Arabidopsis thaliana: one gene and its partner. The protein of the gene in region 1 interacts with the protein of each later gene in a pairwise test. Each region holds a gene or a part of one and is shown on either strand. Other genes may lie near its edges.

The links. Proteins that work in one complex are often made in the same cells at the same time.
Region 2: the proteins of UBC36 (region 1) and AIRP1 interact in a two-hybrid assay, tested with the Arabidopsis thaliana proteins (one large-scale study listed by BioGRID).

Annotation. Positions count from the first base shown.
Region 1 is NC_003070.9:5,774,256-5,781,579, forward strand, and holds UBC36 (ubiquitin-conjugating enzyme 36), read right to left. Parts: upstream 4,230-7,324; 5' UTR 4,073-4,229; coding exon 4,037-4,072; exon of another isoform or gene 3,835-4,036; coding exon 3,780-3,834; intron 3,684-3,779; coding exon 3,597-3,683; intron 3,574-3,596; exon of another isoform or gene 3,218-3,573; coding exon 3,159-3,217; exon of another isoform or gene 2,866-3,158; coding exon 2,824-2,865; intron 2,712-2,823; coding exon 2,638-2,711; intron 2,530-2,637; coding exon 2,432-2,529; intron 2,333-2,431; coding exon 2,295-2,332; 3' UTR 1,922-2,294; downstream 1-1,921. Other genes in the region: ACR11 (uridylyltransferase-like protein), read left to right, coding at 77-122, 209-346, 478-572, 714-798, 895-954, 1,285-1,340, 1,449-1,554, 1,658-1,726 and 1 more; EBS3 (Alg9-like mannosyltransferase family), read right to left, coding at 5,007-5,138, 5,227-5,316, 5,410-5,606, 5,779-5,917, 6,018-6,129, 6,277-6,572, 6,706-6,923, 7,137-7,296. UniProt on the Arabidopsis thaliana protein: Catalyzes the synthesis of non-canonical poly-ubiquitin chains that are linked through 'Lys-63'. This type of poly-ubiquitination does not lead to protein degradation by the proteasome. Mediates transcriptional activation of target genes.
Region 2 is NC_003075.7:12,239,173-12,246,169, reverse strand, and holds AIRP1 (RING/U-box superfamily protein), read left to right. Parts: upstream 1-3,463; 5' UTR 3,464-3,708; exon of another isoform or gene 3,709-3,734; intron 3,735-3,778; 5' UTR 3,779-3,979; coding exon 3,980-4,116; exon of another isoform or gene 4,117-4,304; coding exon 4,305-4,368; intron 4,369-4,448; coding exon 4,449-4,740; intron 4,741-4,815; coding exon 4,816-4,925; intron 4,926-5,033; coding exon 5,034-5,057; 3' UTR 5,058-5,366; downstream 5,367-6,997. Other genes in the region: AT4G23460 (Adaptin family protein), read left to right, coding at 22-85, 188-367, 471-563, 670-1,049, 1,190-1,379, 1,467-1,670, 1,972-2,271; AT4G23440 (Disease resistance protein (TIR-NBS class)), read right to left, coding at 5,511-6,997. UniProt on the Arabidopsis thaliana protein: Possesses E3 ubiquitin-protein ligase activity in vitro when associated with the E2 enzyme UBC8 in vitro. Plays combinatory roles with AIRP2 in the positive regulation of the abscisic acid-mediated drought stress response.

The DNA.
Region 1 (7,324 bases):
AAGCACAGATTGTTTTGAGCTGATCTTCTACGGATTCAAATACTTCAATTCAATTCTTTTTTTTTTTTTTCTTCAGATTATCCACTTTGAAGATTAGAGCATCAAATGCTACTGCTGTGGAGGTATGAAAATGAAATGATTACACAAGGACACTAGTAATTTGAATAGACTTTTTAAAGTTTATATGTTTTTGTTTTTGATTTTGAAGAATGGAAAGCAAGAAGGAAGTGCTGCTGATTCTGATAAAGTTCCAACTCCAGTTGTTATAATCGACCAAGATTCTGACCCTGATGCAACCGTTCTTGAAGTTACATTCGGAGATCGTCTTGGAGCTTTACTTGACACTGTAAGGAAGGATACCTTCTTCTTACTCACTTGTTGCTAGCTCTGCATAATCGACCAACATTCACAAAAGCTTCTTACTTCCTTTCCTGCTTTTTTGACTGCTTCTTGATCTGATCAACTTTGCCCTTCTAGATGAATGCGCTCAAAAACTTGGGATTGAATGTCGTCAAGGCAAATGTTTACCTTGATTCTTCCGGCAAGCACAACAAATTTGCCATTACTAGAGCGTATGTCTTTTCATATCATCAAAGAGTATTTTGAGCTCCAAGAGTCGTTTAGATAGTTAATGTTGCTTTGAATCGATTGACTCTGTCAAATAGTTGACTTTAGATTGAGTTTTGAGCTGACTGTAATTGTTGTTACAACAGAGATAGTGGAAGAAAAGTAGAAGACCCTGAATTGCTTGAGGCCATTCGTCTCACAGTCATAAACAATCTGCTTGAGTTTCATCCTGTAACTACTTCACATCCTAATATCCTCTCTTTCTATTTTTCCTATATCTTGCATAATTTTTTAACTCACACATTGCTTCTCGATGATTTGGATCAGGAATCAAGTTCTCAGTTGGCAATGGGAGCAGCTTTTGGTGTTCTTCCTCCAACTGAACCGGTAAAAACCTTAAACTGTGATGCTCTTTTTATAACCTTATCCACTTCTTTTGTATTGCACTAATTCTTCAAGTAGTTAGCATCCTCGAACATAAAGGTCAAGACTGCTTGTCGTTTCCTCGGTCACGTACAGATAAGAAACAATAATAGAGAAAACAAAGACTTAACTAATAATCAACATATTTGGATTTGGCGGGTCAATGTAGAGTACAAGTATTAAACTTCATTATAGTATTAATCACTTTGATGAAGAAGGGAATACCCACGCAACTTCAAAGTAGCTTCAAAATTCATTTTCCTTCTTCTGTATTTTGGATTGGGATGTTGACAGATTGACGTGGACATAGCAACACATATAACCATTGAAGATGATGGACCAGACCGCAGGTAATGTATACCCATACCTTATCTCAACTCTAGAACCTTATCCAAATGCTTTTATTCTTATGATATATGATCTGATCATTGATCCATAATTATTTGTTGATGATGCAGTTTACTCTTCATAGAATCAGCGGATAGACCTGGACTATTAGTTGAGCTGGTGAAGATCATTTCAGATATCAGCGTCGCTGTTGAATCTGGAGAATTCGACACCGAGGTATCTAATAATCCTGTTTTTTAATGTCTAAAACATATACCCTCCGCTATAATATCGCTCTGTTTCTCATGTTGCTTCTTCTTGTTGTATGTGAAACAAAAAGGGTTTGTTGGCTAAGGTGAAGTTTCATGTAAGCTACAGGAACAAAGCCCTAATCAAGCCTCTCCAGCAGGTTAAAATTCTGAAATTAGACTTTTCTCTTTGATAAGTTGAAATGTTTTTACTGAAATGAAATCAAATTTTGTATTTGTAGGTCCTTGCTAATAGTCTGAGGTACTTCTTGAGGCGTCCATCAACTGACGAGTCAAGTTTCTGATTATGCCCATTTTTCAAAATCTCAAGTCTCATTCCTCGTGACTACTATTTTTACCACTTTTTTTTTTTTTTACATTTGACCAAAATAAGCTGCTTCATACACCTGTAATAGTAACATTATGCATCATTCATCCAATTTACTTTGATTCACAACCTGTGAAAATCTGATTATCTACACCACTTTATAAAGATTATTATAGAGCATATATAACAAAAACAAAGATCAAAAGCAAGCACAATTGAAGAAAGTTAGATTCCAGATATGGGTAAACGAGTCTTAGATCCCCCTAGTTATACAAATTCAGAGAGTACAAATCTTTTTCCTCTGTTTTCAGAAAAAGGATTCAGATAAAACCTTGAGATAGAGTTTCACCATATATAATGTTATTTAAATGACAATGATCTTTCTCCATTTGCAGTCTTCTTTAAGCACCACTTGCGTAAAGACGAGTCCATTCCTTAGCTGCATAAGTTCACATTGATATGAGATTACCAGATTAGAGAGGAGAGGAATAAAGTTTTTGTTGCAACTTTTTTGAGTTTTTCGATCGTATTTTATCACCTGTTTCCACAGCTTCTGCCTCATTGCTCTTCCAATGCTTAGCTATGTTCTCAGACAGAGGATCATCTGGGTTTGGTGCACTTAAAAGAGCTTGGATACTGTTTTTACACGGCAATGGAAAATCAGAAAGTGTGAATAATTAAATCTTAATTTCTACAATATTTTGGATTTAGTAGGGAAAGAAGATTCTATGGATATATTCATACCTCAAGAGCACAGTTCGTATTTGTAGTGCAGGACTCCACTTGTCTTTCAGTATGTCAAGGCAGATTCTTCCAAGCTATATATACATGATAAGTGCAAACAAAACATGATCCATAAGTATAAAAGACCATGTGTTTGGTTAGTTATCTTGACAGTAAGAGAAGAAAAGGAAATTTTTCACAACAGACCTTGTCGATGTTAGGATGGTAAATCTTGGTGAGAAACCTAACCTGTGTTTCAAATGATATCATCAATAAGACCCATAAACTCTACATCAATGAAGAAACTTGGATACGTTGTCTAATATAATATAAGAAAATACATTCGGAGTAGTCATAACAAAACCAAAATCACCAATCTCATAAACCCATAAATAAAATCCTAGTGTTAAGAGTAGAGAGACATTCACTTAAAGAGCATTTACCTCCACTTAACAATGTTATGTGGGGTAATCCTAATGTTACCAAAACAAGTGAAACATGAAATGAAAGAAGAAAAACACACAAAAGTTGAAGCAACTTACCTTGGGAGCTGCCATAGGATATTCTTCAGGCAAAAAGAGCTCCAACTTGAAAACTCCTCCTACAGATTGAGAAGGAAACAAAATTATTGGTAAACATCAATTAACAGAAATATGATGATAGATAAAACAGCAGACTTGATTCTGGAAATTCGACTTGGCATTGTGTATTCTAGAACAAATAAAATGTGTCGAAATGAACTCAAAGGTAGCTTAAAGACTCATCGTTATTCATAACACTACAATCCGAACATGAGCAATCTATGAGACCTAGTAGTACCTAAACGAACATATCCGTTTGTATAAACAAATATAGAGACAGAGCAGAGTCACTACTTGCAGCAGAAACGATAACGATAAATCGTTGAGCAGCATGCATTAAAGAAGAAAAAGGAAGAAGTAACGATGAGCATCTTTGGGAGATTAAAACAATTTGACTACCTTCATAAGGAGATTGAGTAGGACCAAGAATCATAACATTGAAATATCTCATATTTTCCTCTGATGGAGACGCACTTATCCCAGGAGCTGCAATTTCGAAAGATATACAACTTAGAATTAAAATCAATAGTTCCAGCTACCAAAACCAACTGTTTGAGCTAAAATCAACTGTGAGAAATCAACAAGGATCGAATGAAGTGATGAAATTACCAGGTTCACTAAGCAGACGTTGAGTTTCCTATCAGATCGAAGAACAAAAAAAAGTCAGATCAAGATGACGAAGATGATATAAGATCGTACAAGCTATCGAAAATTCTTCCCAGTTCTGCTGAGGTATATAATCCGTCGGTTCCTTCTTCGGATTTCAGATTAGAATTCCCCAAAATGAAACTGAGGGGAGATACGGATCGGAGGATGCTACAGAGGATCGGAAAACTAACCTTGATGATTCGTCGGGGAAGATTACTATTGGCCATTATCGCACGCTATCGGATTCGATCGTCACAGAGAAGTTAGGGTTTTTGAGAGAGAACGAAGCTACCAAAGGCTGATAATAATCGAGTACGCTTCGTCGTCTCTAGTTTCGTGCCCCTTTGATCCTTTTAATTCTTTCTTTTTTTCCTTTACGGAAATAAATTGATGCTTTTATGCTAGTAAAAATATATAATTACATGAAATATGTAAGGAATACATTTAGTAAATAATTTTCTGTAAGTTCTCTTCCATATTCATATTCAATTTTTTTAAGAATAATTTCCATATTCAAATACTTTTTTAACCATGATTGAAAACTACTAAGAAAATAATCTTTTCTTAGTTTTGTAAACGACATGCACTATTTATTAGTCTGGTGGTAACATAGTGACAACATTATTACAAACGTCAATATACCTACCATGATCTCGATGACTCGATCAAATTTTTAGAAAAATTAATACCTTGTTTAGGTTATTCTTTTCTTCAAAGATAATCTTTTACAATATATATACACAACTTTTTTAGTTCATTATCTTCAATTCTATTGCGTTCTTCTTCTGTACCTTTTTACGACGCGTTGGTCAAACGCTAACTTAAAGAGGACAGAAATATGAATTATGAAGTGCCCTCCATAGTCTTCTCATTTTCTCCCTTTTTCTCGATAGCCAAAATTGGAATCCGCAATATCAAAAGACAAAAAGAATATAGACTTTGCACAATAATGTCATAAACATAATCTTCCACGTTCTTCTGACCATTTGGAGATTTCTTACAAAGTTAAAACTAGTCTCTTTCACAACAACACAACTACGAACCGTGAACGTACCTGAACTTAAAGCCGATACTAATCAGTTATTAGTTATTACATTCTCCCAAAACTACCCAATGAACTGAGTTAAAGCTACAAGTCTAAGGAGTTTTAACGATTTGTGATCATTTTGGGACTCTTCTCAGTGCTACGTATTTGCCAAACACATTTTTCTCCTGCCACATGTGCGGGATGAAGAACGATCTATACTTAGCTGGCGACAGCTCTCTGTCCAAATAAGGCAACACCGCAATAGCCTGAAAAAAGGGTCAAAACAACCAATTGAAGAAGTGAAGTGAAATCAAAGATGGATTCTGTTTCAGGAAGATGGTTTGATTCCTATACCTCCCATGTAGATAAGTCGCTGCCTCGATACTGATACGGTCTGCTAAGCTGCAACTCAATGAGGAATGTACAAGTTTCGATGTTCTTTAACTGGAAAAAATGGAACGAGTAAACAAGCCATGATTAAGTTTATGTTTAGAGATATTTTGAAGGTTTCATGAGAGAAGAGTGTGTGAGTATTACATATTGTTCTTCGGATGCTTGGTTCTTGTTGTTGAAGTATGGAGGTGATGCTGAAGTGCCTCCAAGTGTATTGTTAAATGGGAATGGAAGAAGACCGCGGAATCCATCATCGATCCACCGTACTTCGCTAATGTAGTGGGGCACAAAAAACGATGATGGGTATCGATGCCATTCACTTCCCACACATAGAACAGAACCTGACATACAAAACCAACCAAGAAGTCATCAGTGATTAGAAAACTTTTGTCAAAAGGACTTTGTTACCCTTTTTCCAATGGCAAATTACTATTCTTGAAGTAAAAGTGAGATGTGATCTTCACTCGTCTTAGCATTATAATGATCAAGAAGTTCAGTTCGAATTGGATATACCTGGTCCTGCATCATCATGATGCTCCAGTAGTTTGTAGACCTCCAAGGGAGCGGAATAGCCATTAATAAGAGCAAATGTGCGAGAATGTGAAGCACATAAGATACAACCAAGAATCACAGGTCGCATGTATTTGGTTATCTGCGTATTAAACAGATATGTGAGAATCGTACAATCTACTTCTTTTCAATTTGCGGAAAGGTATAAATCAGAGACTGAGATATTGTAAGTTGGAACTTACTGTCACCAGAAGACTTTCACGTGAGCTATACTTTTCCCGGAACAGCTCAGGGATGTTCTCAATAACAGCAGAAGCAGAGACACAAATAAGAGGGTATATAGGATAAAGGAACCTGCAGTCAATTAATTGACAATCAAAAACATTGTTTGTTGAATACCGTGATTTTGTAAAAGTATCATAAAACTGGTTTCCTCAACGATATAGAAGCCACCATACGAATGCTCAAAAAATTACAAGATGAAAGATCTTAGAAAATCACCTTTCTTCTTTGTGGGGCTGAAGTGACATGAACGCCAGCCAAATATACATCGGGGAAATCACAACCAGCAGGGCACGGTCATACTTCCTTCTGATAACAGGATATATTGCGACAAACAACATTGCCAAAATGAAACAGAAGTTGAAGTTGTTAAATCCATTTCTTATATAAAATAACGCTCCTTCAGTCCCATAGAGATGGCTCTCTCCACCCCCTAACACATTGTATATCAAGAGATTCAAAACTGATGATGTCCATCTCTTGTAATAATAGTAATCCACAAGTAGTGAGACTCCCTAGAAAAGAGACAAAACTAATTAGAAGAGAAAATAGTAATTTAAAGTTACAGGTGCTAATGAAAGTCAGCGAGATCCAATAATTCCCATAAAATTCACACAGACAAAGCATCTAGGATTGGTGTTAGCTTACAAGGAGAAATATAGTGGTGACTGCACCAGCGATAAATGCTTGCTTGAATCTCTTAACCAGAGAGTAAATAACGACAGGTAAAAAGGCCAAGATAGAAAATGGCCAGCCAAGAATCACCCCGACAACCGAAACTGCAACAGCCATGGCATACTTCTCGAAAAGTAATAAACCAGATGAGAGGCTTATGGCGTACATAGAAAATGAACTGGGGAGGAAACCTATCAAAATTTTAGAGAAACATGAATTAGTAAGAAACCAGAACACAAAGCCAAATTCAGAGCAATGTCTTTGGAATAACTTATACAAGCATTTGAAACTAAAACCTATCGGATGCAAGAATAACTTGGAAAGCCTATATATGCATATTAAGGAAATATGACAGAAAGCTTAAGCAAGTGTAACAACAAATCAAAACAAAACAAAACACTCACTGGTACTAGCAAAGAAGCAGCCACTGGTTAAGCAGAGCATCGCAACTGCATAGGTAGCGATACGTTTCCCATACTTTCTGGAGAGCGCAACAACCAGGACAGTATCTGAAACTGCAGAAACCAGTCCGAGAAAGAGTCTCACTGCATAGAAAACTCTAACCTATCCAAAAGATAGACGTAAACTGGAT
Region 2 (6,997 bases), on another chromosome or scaffold:
GTCTTTTAAAATAATGTGCAGGTATGAGTCCATAATCGCAACACTCTGTGAGAGTCTAGACACATTGGATGAACCAGAAGCTAAGGTAACAAAATTTGTCGTTTGGGTAGTGTATATTAGCTGGAAGCTTCTCCATCGCAAATATAATCGGTGAAACTCATACTTGTATTTGTTGGCATCTTGAAAGGCATCTATGATTTGGATCATTGGTGAATATGCTGAAAGAATCGACAATGCGGATGAACTTCTTGAAAGCTTCCTGGAGAATTTCCCTGAGGAACCAGCACAAGTCCAACTGCAGCTTCTTACAGCTACAGTCAAACTATTTCTGAAGAAGCCAACTGAAGGCCCACAACAAATGATTCAGGTTCTGCCATGACCATTATGAAGACTACCTTTTGCTCTCCTAATCGATTAAAGCGCATGTATTTGACGACAGGCCTGGCTTTTGCCATGTTTCAATTTTTCAGGTTGTCTTGAATAATGCTACTGTTGAAACAGATAATCCTGATCTCAGGGATCGTGCATACATCTACTGGCGTCTTCTATCGACTGATCCTGAGGTATGTTTTCTTAATATATTCTACTAAACTAGTTCAAGGACATTGGAGGATGAGCAACAATCATCTCTTTTACCTACAGTCATCAGTGCTCTTCTTTTGACTATAGGCGGCCAAGGATGTTGTTTTAGCTGAAAAGCCTGTGATTACTGATGACTCAAACCAACTTGATCCGTCGCTCCTGGATGAGCTACTTGCAAATATATCCACCTTGTCCTCTGTGTATCACAAGCCGCCAGAGGCTTTTGTAACCCGCTTGAAAACCACAGTTCAGAAAACGGAGGATGAGGATTATGTAGAAGGGAGCGAAACAGGATATCCCGAGGCATCTGGTAATCCGGTTGATGGTGCAGCTTCCCCGTCAGCTACCACAGGCTATGTCACAAAGCTAGCTGCTGCCCCAGCTCCTGTACCCGATCTGCTAGGTGACCTAATGGGGTCAGATAATGCTGCAATCGTCCCTGTAGATGAACCCACAACTCCGTCAGGGTGAGTTTTGAATGGTGAAAATTACATTAAAAGTCTCTCTCACAGTTGGGGTGTGCGATGGACTGGTTTTATTCAATCATATCTATTTGGATCACCTTGTTGTTTATAAAACTCATTGAATCACCTAATATTGTTTGCAGTCGTCCACTGCCTGTTGTCCTACCAGCATCAAAGGGTCAAGGTCTGCAGATTAGCGCTCAATTAACCCGACAAGATGGTCAAGTATTCTACAGTATGCTCCTCGAGAACAACTCGCAGTCACTTCTTGATGGCTTCATGATTCAGTTCAACAAAAACTCATTCGGCCTTGCAGCTGTCGGATCACTTCAGGTAATAGTAGTTGGATATGCTCTACATCTACGCCTATTATATATCCTGGATTCCTGAAACTGATGTCCAGGTTTTGTACTATTATAGGTTCCGCCTCTGCAACCCGGAGCATCTGCCAGGACAATGATGCCAATGGTATTGTCCCAAAACATGTCTACTGGCTCCACCAGCTCGGTATTGCAAGTTGCCGTCAAAAACAACCAGCAGCCTGTCTGGTACTTCGAGGATAAGATTGTACTTAACGCTCTTTTCTCAGAAGATGGTCGGATGGAGCGCGGAACCTTCCTCGAGGTAAAAGACTAATATATGATAAAGAGTTCATTAACAATACAGCACCATGTTAGTCATTGACTAATAGTGGAGAGGGCTTATGATATTAAGATGGGCGAGTAATTAGTGACAGATTTTGTGCCTTAAGAAGCCTGGGGGAGTTAGGGTGCTGTAGATCTTAACATATGATATGGTTTTCATCGATTTAAGTTTCTAGACTCAGTAAGAACTGAAGGAAGATATTGATTTCTGATCATAACTATATACCACAGTCTTAAAAACCAGTTCTTCTGAGTTATAAAACATTTGTTTTTTTGATTAGACATGGAAATCGTTACCGGATTCAAACGAGGTGCAGAAAGAATTCCCCGGGATAACCATCACGAGCGTGGAGTCAACACTTGATTTACTCGCCGCATCAAACATGTTCTTCATAGCAAAGCGTAAGAATGGGAACCAAGACGTCCTCTATCTTTCGGCCAAGGTACCAAGAGGCATACCGTTCCTGATCGAACTAACGGCCATAGTGGGTCAACCTGGTCTGAAATGTGCAGTCAAGACTCCAACCCCTGAGATCGCTCCTCTCTTCTTTGAAGCAGTCGAAATTCTCTTCAAGGCTTGATTTGATTTTACACTGCCCTAAGGTAAGCAAATTTCTTCTTTTAGTGTATGTAGTAAGTGAATTGTTGCCGACTTCTTGTTTCTAATTTTTGTGTTGGAACCCACTCGTTTTTTTATTCTCGTAAGAGCTTTGATTTTTGATGTTGTCGTTGCGTATATGCCCCAAAAGGTTTTTGATTAAACTAGTGTGATAATGACTTATTATCAGCAAATGCTATTTTTAGTGTTCAGTGACCGACATGAAATCAAAAAGTTTCCTAAGTGGAGCGAAGAGATTCGTACACGTAAACCAGTTGAGAATTTGGTACCTTCTTCACAACAGATAGGCGTAGATAGATAGATACTGGGCCCGTAATGCGACGTAGCAATTTCCTAATATCAATATCAATCATGATTTCCTGTAACATGCGGTTACAAAATAGCTTCGTCGAAACTAATCTTCTTTTAATTATCGATTGATTATTAAATCAATTCAAAACCAAAACTAATTGAAAATTTTAAAGCTTGAGGGGGACTAATAGTAACGTGAGATTGAAGTAATGCCACCGAATATAAGGGTTGAGTAAGGGCGCTACACGCCATCACATAAAAGGGATTATACTATCAATCAACTAATATTTTTGTAACTTAAAATGAAATACCAAAGTTTCGACATTATTGGTTTATGAAAGCTCACCATTGTATTTTAATTTGATCAAAACTATACATTTTAGTTGAGACCGTAAGTACAACAAAGGTCCAAGCTTGAAAATACTTTTTTAGACAATTTTATCATTTACTAAATAGAATAATTATTATTTGTCCCCACCAAGGGTTTATACTTTATATCAGTTTATCTGTAGATAATGTTTTAAATCTGTTCATATCCAATATTTTACTAAATATAAAAAAATTGTTTTTCTGGTTAATCAGTTTTTAATTTTATTTTGAACCAAAAGTATGAATCATAATTTTTAGATTTAAGATACTATAAGTAGTGCAATCATTAATTTAAAACTTGCTTATATAGTTATAACTTATATGGTTAATATTGTATATCCCATAAAATAATACTAATTACCTTGGTGGTCAAATCATGAAAATCTTATTATAAAAGGGCTAATGGGAAATATTCTTAAGAAAATCCAGAGTTTCCTTGTACGATATGGTTTGTGATTAATGAATATAAATACAAAAAAGTTTGATTAACAACCAAAATAACAATTAAAGTAAAGAAAATTGTGATCCCTTGATTTTATCTCTCTGATAAAGTCGCCTCTTTCGTCGCAGCTAGTCTTCTTCGTCGCCATCAGAAAATTCTCATTCAACACAAAACCTCAAAAAGTTTTCCCAGAAATCCTATCAAAAGAAGGACTATATCAAGCTTCTGTTTCTGTTTTTTAGGTAACTAATGATTTTTTTCTTCTCCGTTACAAAAGTCACTTTATATTTTTGTTTTGTAGGATCACTAACTCTGTTTGTGAGGTTCTTCTTTTCTGTTTTCGTTTGTTCTGTTTGGTTGTTCTGAGATTTTTTTTTTTTTTTTTTTTACTTCTGTTTCAGCCCACTTTTTTAGTTTCCAGGTTTTACTGTTTTTTATTTTTTTAACCACTCTGTTTTCAGTTCTTCGTCTATTAGGGTTTGGTAACTAATAGTATCTCTGTTATGGTAAACCAAGTTTTTTTTTTCATTTGAAAGCTCAAGATGTTCTTAGGATCATATGATTTTCCATGAGTATTCAACATGAAATTTACTTTCTTCATAATGAACCTCATAAGTACACGAGAGTCTTTAATCTTATATTTGTCATCACAATGGATACACATATTTGTATTGCTTTAATCTCTGTGACTATTATTCTCTCATTGTTAGTGTATAGTTAGCTATGTTACATTGAAGTACTTGTGGTGTTTGAGTTTGGTTTTCCAGTTACTTAGTATGATCACAGAGCTAGATTTTGCCTCCCATTAGAGTTTCAATTAGGAGTCTTATGAATTTTTTCTGGATACTACAGGTCTTTTGGTAACCTAAAGAGCTGCTATACACTGATCTGAGAACTGTCAAAACTTTATCATACCAAAGAATGGGTTGCTGCTGTTGTCTCCCGAGTATACCCGAAGTAAAGCCTCTACGTCTTTCTTGTTTGCAGCCTTTTTGGGTTTTGGTTTTTGTTTTCTTATGTTTTATTGTTTTCTGTAGAGCTCAAGAACTATAGATGAGCATCTTCCCTTATCTCGTGCCACGCCTTCCTCTCTCTCTAATGCATACAGTTCACCTCTTTCGCCGCCTATTCCTTTAGCCATCACGAATATAAATCTTCAAACTAGTCCACCGAAATTGCCAAGAACTCAGGGCAATTCGAGTGAAGCATCCCCGGGACTCACACAAGTTGTTCCAGAGAAGAAAACATGGCATGTTGATGATCTAACTGATTTTGAGCTAAAGAAACAGTATCGAGAAGCAATCGATGAATGTCCAATTTGCTTAGAAGGTATTTTGTTTATCATTCAAAGTTACATGTTAAATATAACATTTTGGTAAATATCTTCATCTTGTTTGTTTGCAGAATATGAGATTGATAACCCGAAATTGCTCACTAAATGTGGCCATGACTTTCATCTCGCTTGCATTCTTGCATGGATGGAAAGAAGCGAGGCGTGTCCAGTTTGCGATAAGGTTTGTGTCCGTTTAAAATCCGCCATTTTCACAATACATTTTGAACTTCTTGAGTCACTAGAATCTGTTTTGACAATAGAGTCTACTTTTTGGGTATTCTTTTCACAGGAATTAGTGCTCACTGAATCATAATCGTGAACAAGAAACCAATAGCTCGGAACAAGAAGTGCGAAAAACGGTACAGAAGATTTGATATAAACAGGCATTAGGACTTACTCTGGTGGTATGATGAACATTGTTGCTCTCTACTACATTCAGAAGCTTTCACTTCCTTTTGATGATATACAGAAATTAGATTTGATTGTTTAATATTCTTTGAAAAACTCTTATGTTTAAGATTTGTTTCTGAATCTGAATTAATTCGAGAAAAGTTGAAGAACAGTTTTAGAAGAGCCTGAAAATTCAGAGATTTTACTGTGATAAAAAAGGATTCTCTGACAAATTTCTTAGATAACAGTTTTTTTTATTACTAAACCTTCTGTATAAATCTAACTCTTATGACTAAAATAATGATAATTAAAAAAAAACAAGAAACTCTAACCTTTATAACTTTTACAACAAGAAAGCCCTAAAAGCTTCTCTCTATTACGGTGAAGTGTTATGAATCTGATGAACATTGGATAAAAGCCTCGTTAACTTACTCAATGTCTCTCGAGCCGACACAGTCCCAGGATGATCCTCTCCTGAGATCGAAGTTCTTATGAAGATTGCTTTTCTGATCAAGTCATCAGCCAAACCAAATTGCCCGCCTCGTAACATCAGCTTAGCTCGAGTCTCTAGCACGGTGGCTCGAGCTAGAGCAAGTTCTTCCCATAGAATAGGGTTTAGTTGTGCACTTGTCTGAACTGGTCTCCAGCAAAGCGACTTGTCTAGCCATTTCTCTACTGGTGTCACTAGCGTTTGGTCAGCTGCTTCAAGTGCGTTTGTGCAGACCCTTAGTAGCTCCACTGAGGCTGTGCATCGCGAAAATGATATGAACGTTCTGATTGCAAGAGGCAAGATTACTTGTTTCACAAGAATCAGCAGCTCTGTTATCTTCAGCTGAATAGTCGGAGATTCGTTGCTAAAACCAAACAGCAAGAAACAAACCGCCCAGATCTGCTCTGCGGTTTCAACAGTCGAGCCGCGGCTTATCACCGCCTGAACCATTGCGGGAGCGTTTTCATTGACCAGTACTCGATTTCTCGCATAGAGTTTCACAAGCTCGTGGATCTGTATAAACCCTAGCTTGATGCTGCTGGTTCGAGCAATGTTGAATCTAAGTAGCATTGAAGCAGCTTCAGCTCCTGATCGTTTGGAGTTTGAAGACGTAAAACCGCAGGTTATAGCGCGCCTTAGTCTTCTCCATAGCCGCTTCGGACCTCTGTGTTTCTCAGGGAGTTTATGAGCAGCCAAAGCTAATAAAGAAGCTGGAACTGGTGCAGGAGCTAACCACCCACTAGCAACAACCATTCTCGTAGCCAAACTTCTAGGTCCATCCGCGTGATCAAAGATCGAAAAACAAACTTCAAACAGCTGCAACAGAAACGCATTTCTTCTCAACAGATTCCCCTCTCGACCACTACACACCATCTCTCTTAACGGCATTCTATTTATAGTATCCAAAAGCCGGCTCGGGTTTATAGGAAGCTCTGACAATATTGCTCCTACGACTGCTAATCCCAACGTTAACCGTCCGAGTTTATCTTCAATAGTTCTCAATGCATCCATTTCCGAAACCGGATAATCTTTAACATTCCCCTGCATCAACGACATAGCTTCAGCACCAGAGAGGTAAGAGAGTTTCAACGGCTCCATGTTCATAACTTGAGAGAGACGTGTAGATATCAAAATATGAGTCCCGCCTCCAAACCGAGGAAGAAGATCCATCACAAGCTTCGAATCCCACCAGTCTTTTTCACTCTCCAAGTTATCAATGACAACCAAGAACGGTATATTCCTCATCAGCTCTTTTCTAATCTTGGAAACCGCAGCATCTTCTTGCTCTTCGAAGCTCTTCATCCGCGTTTTATCCGAAGAATTCTCTATCCCGATGTCGACTTCCAAATACTGATAAAGATTCAGATAGTTCT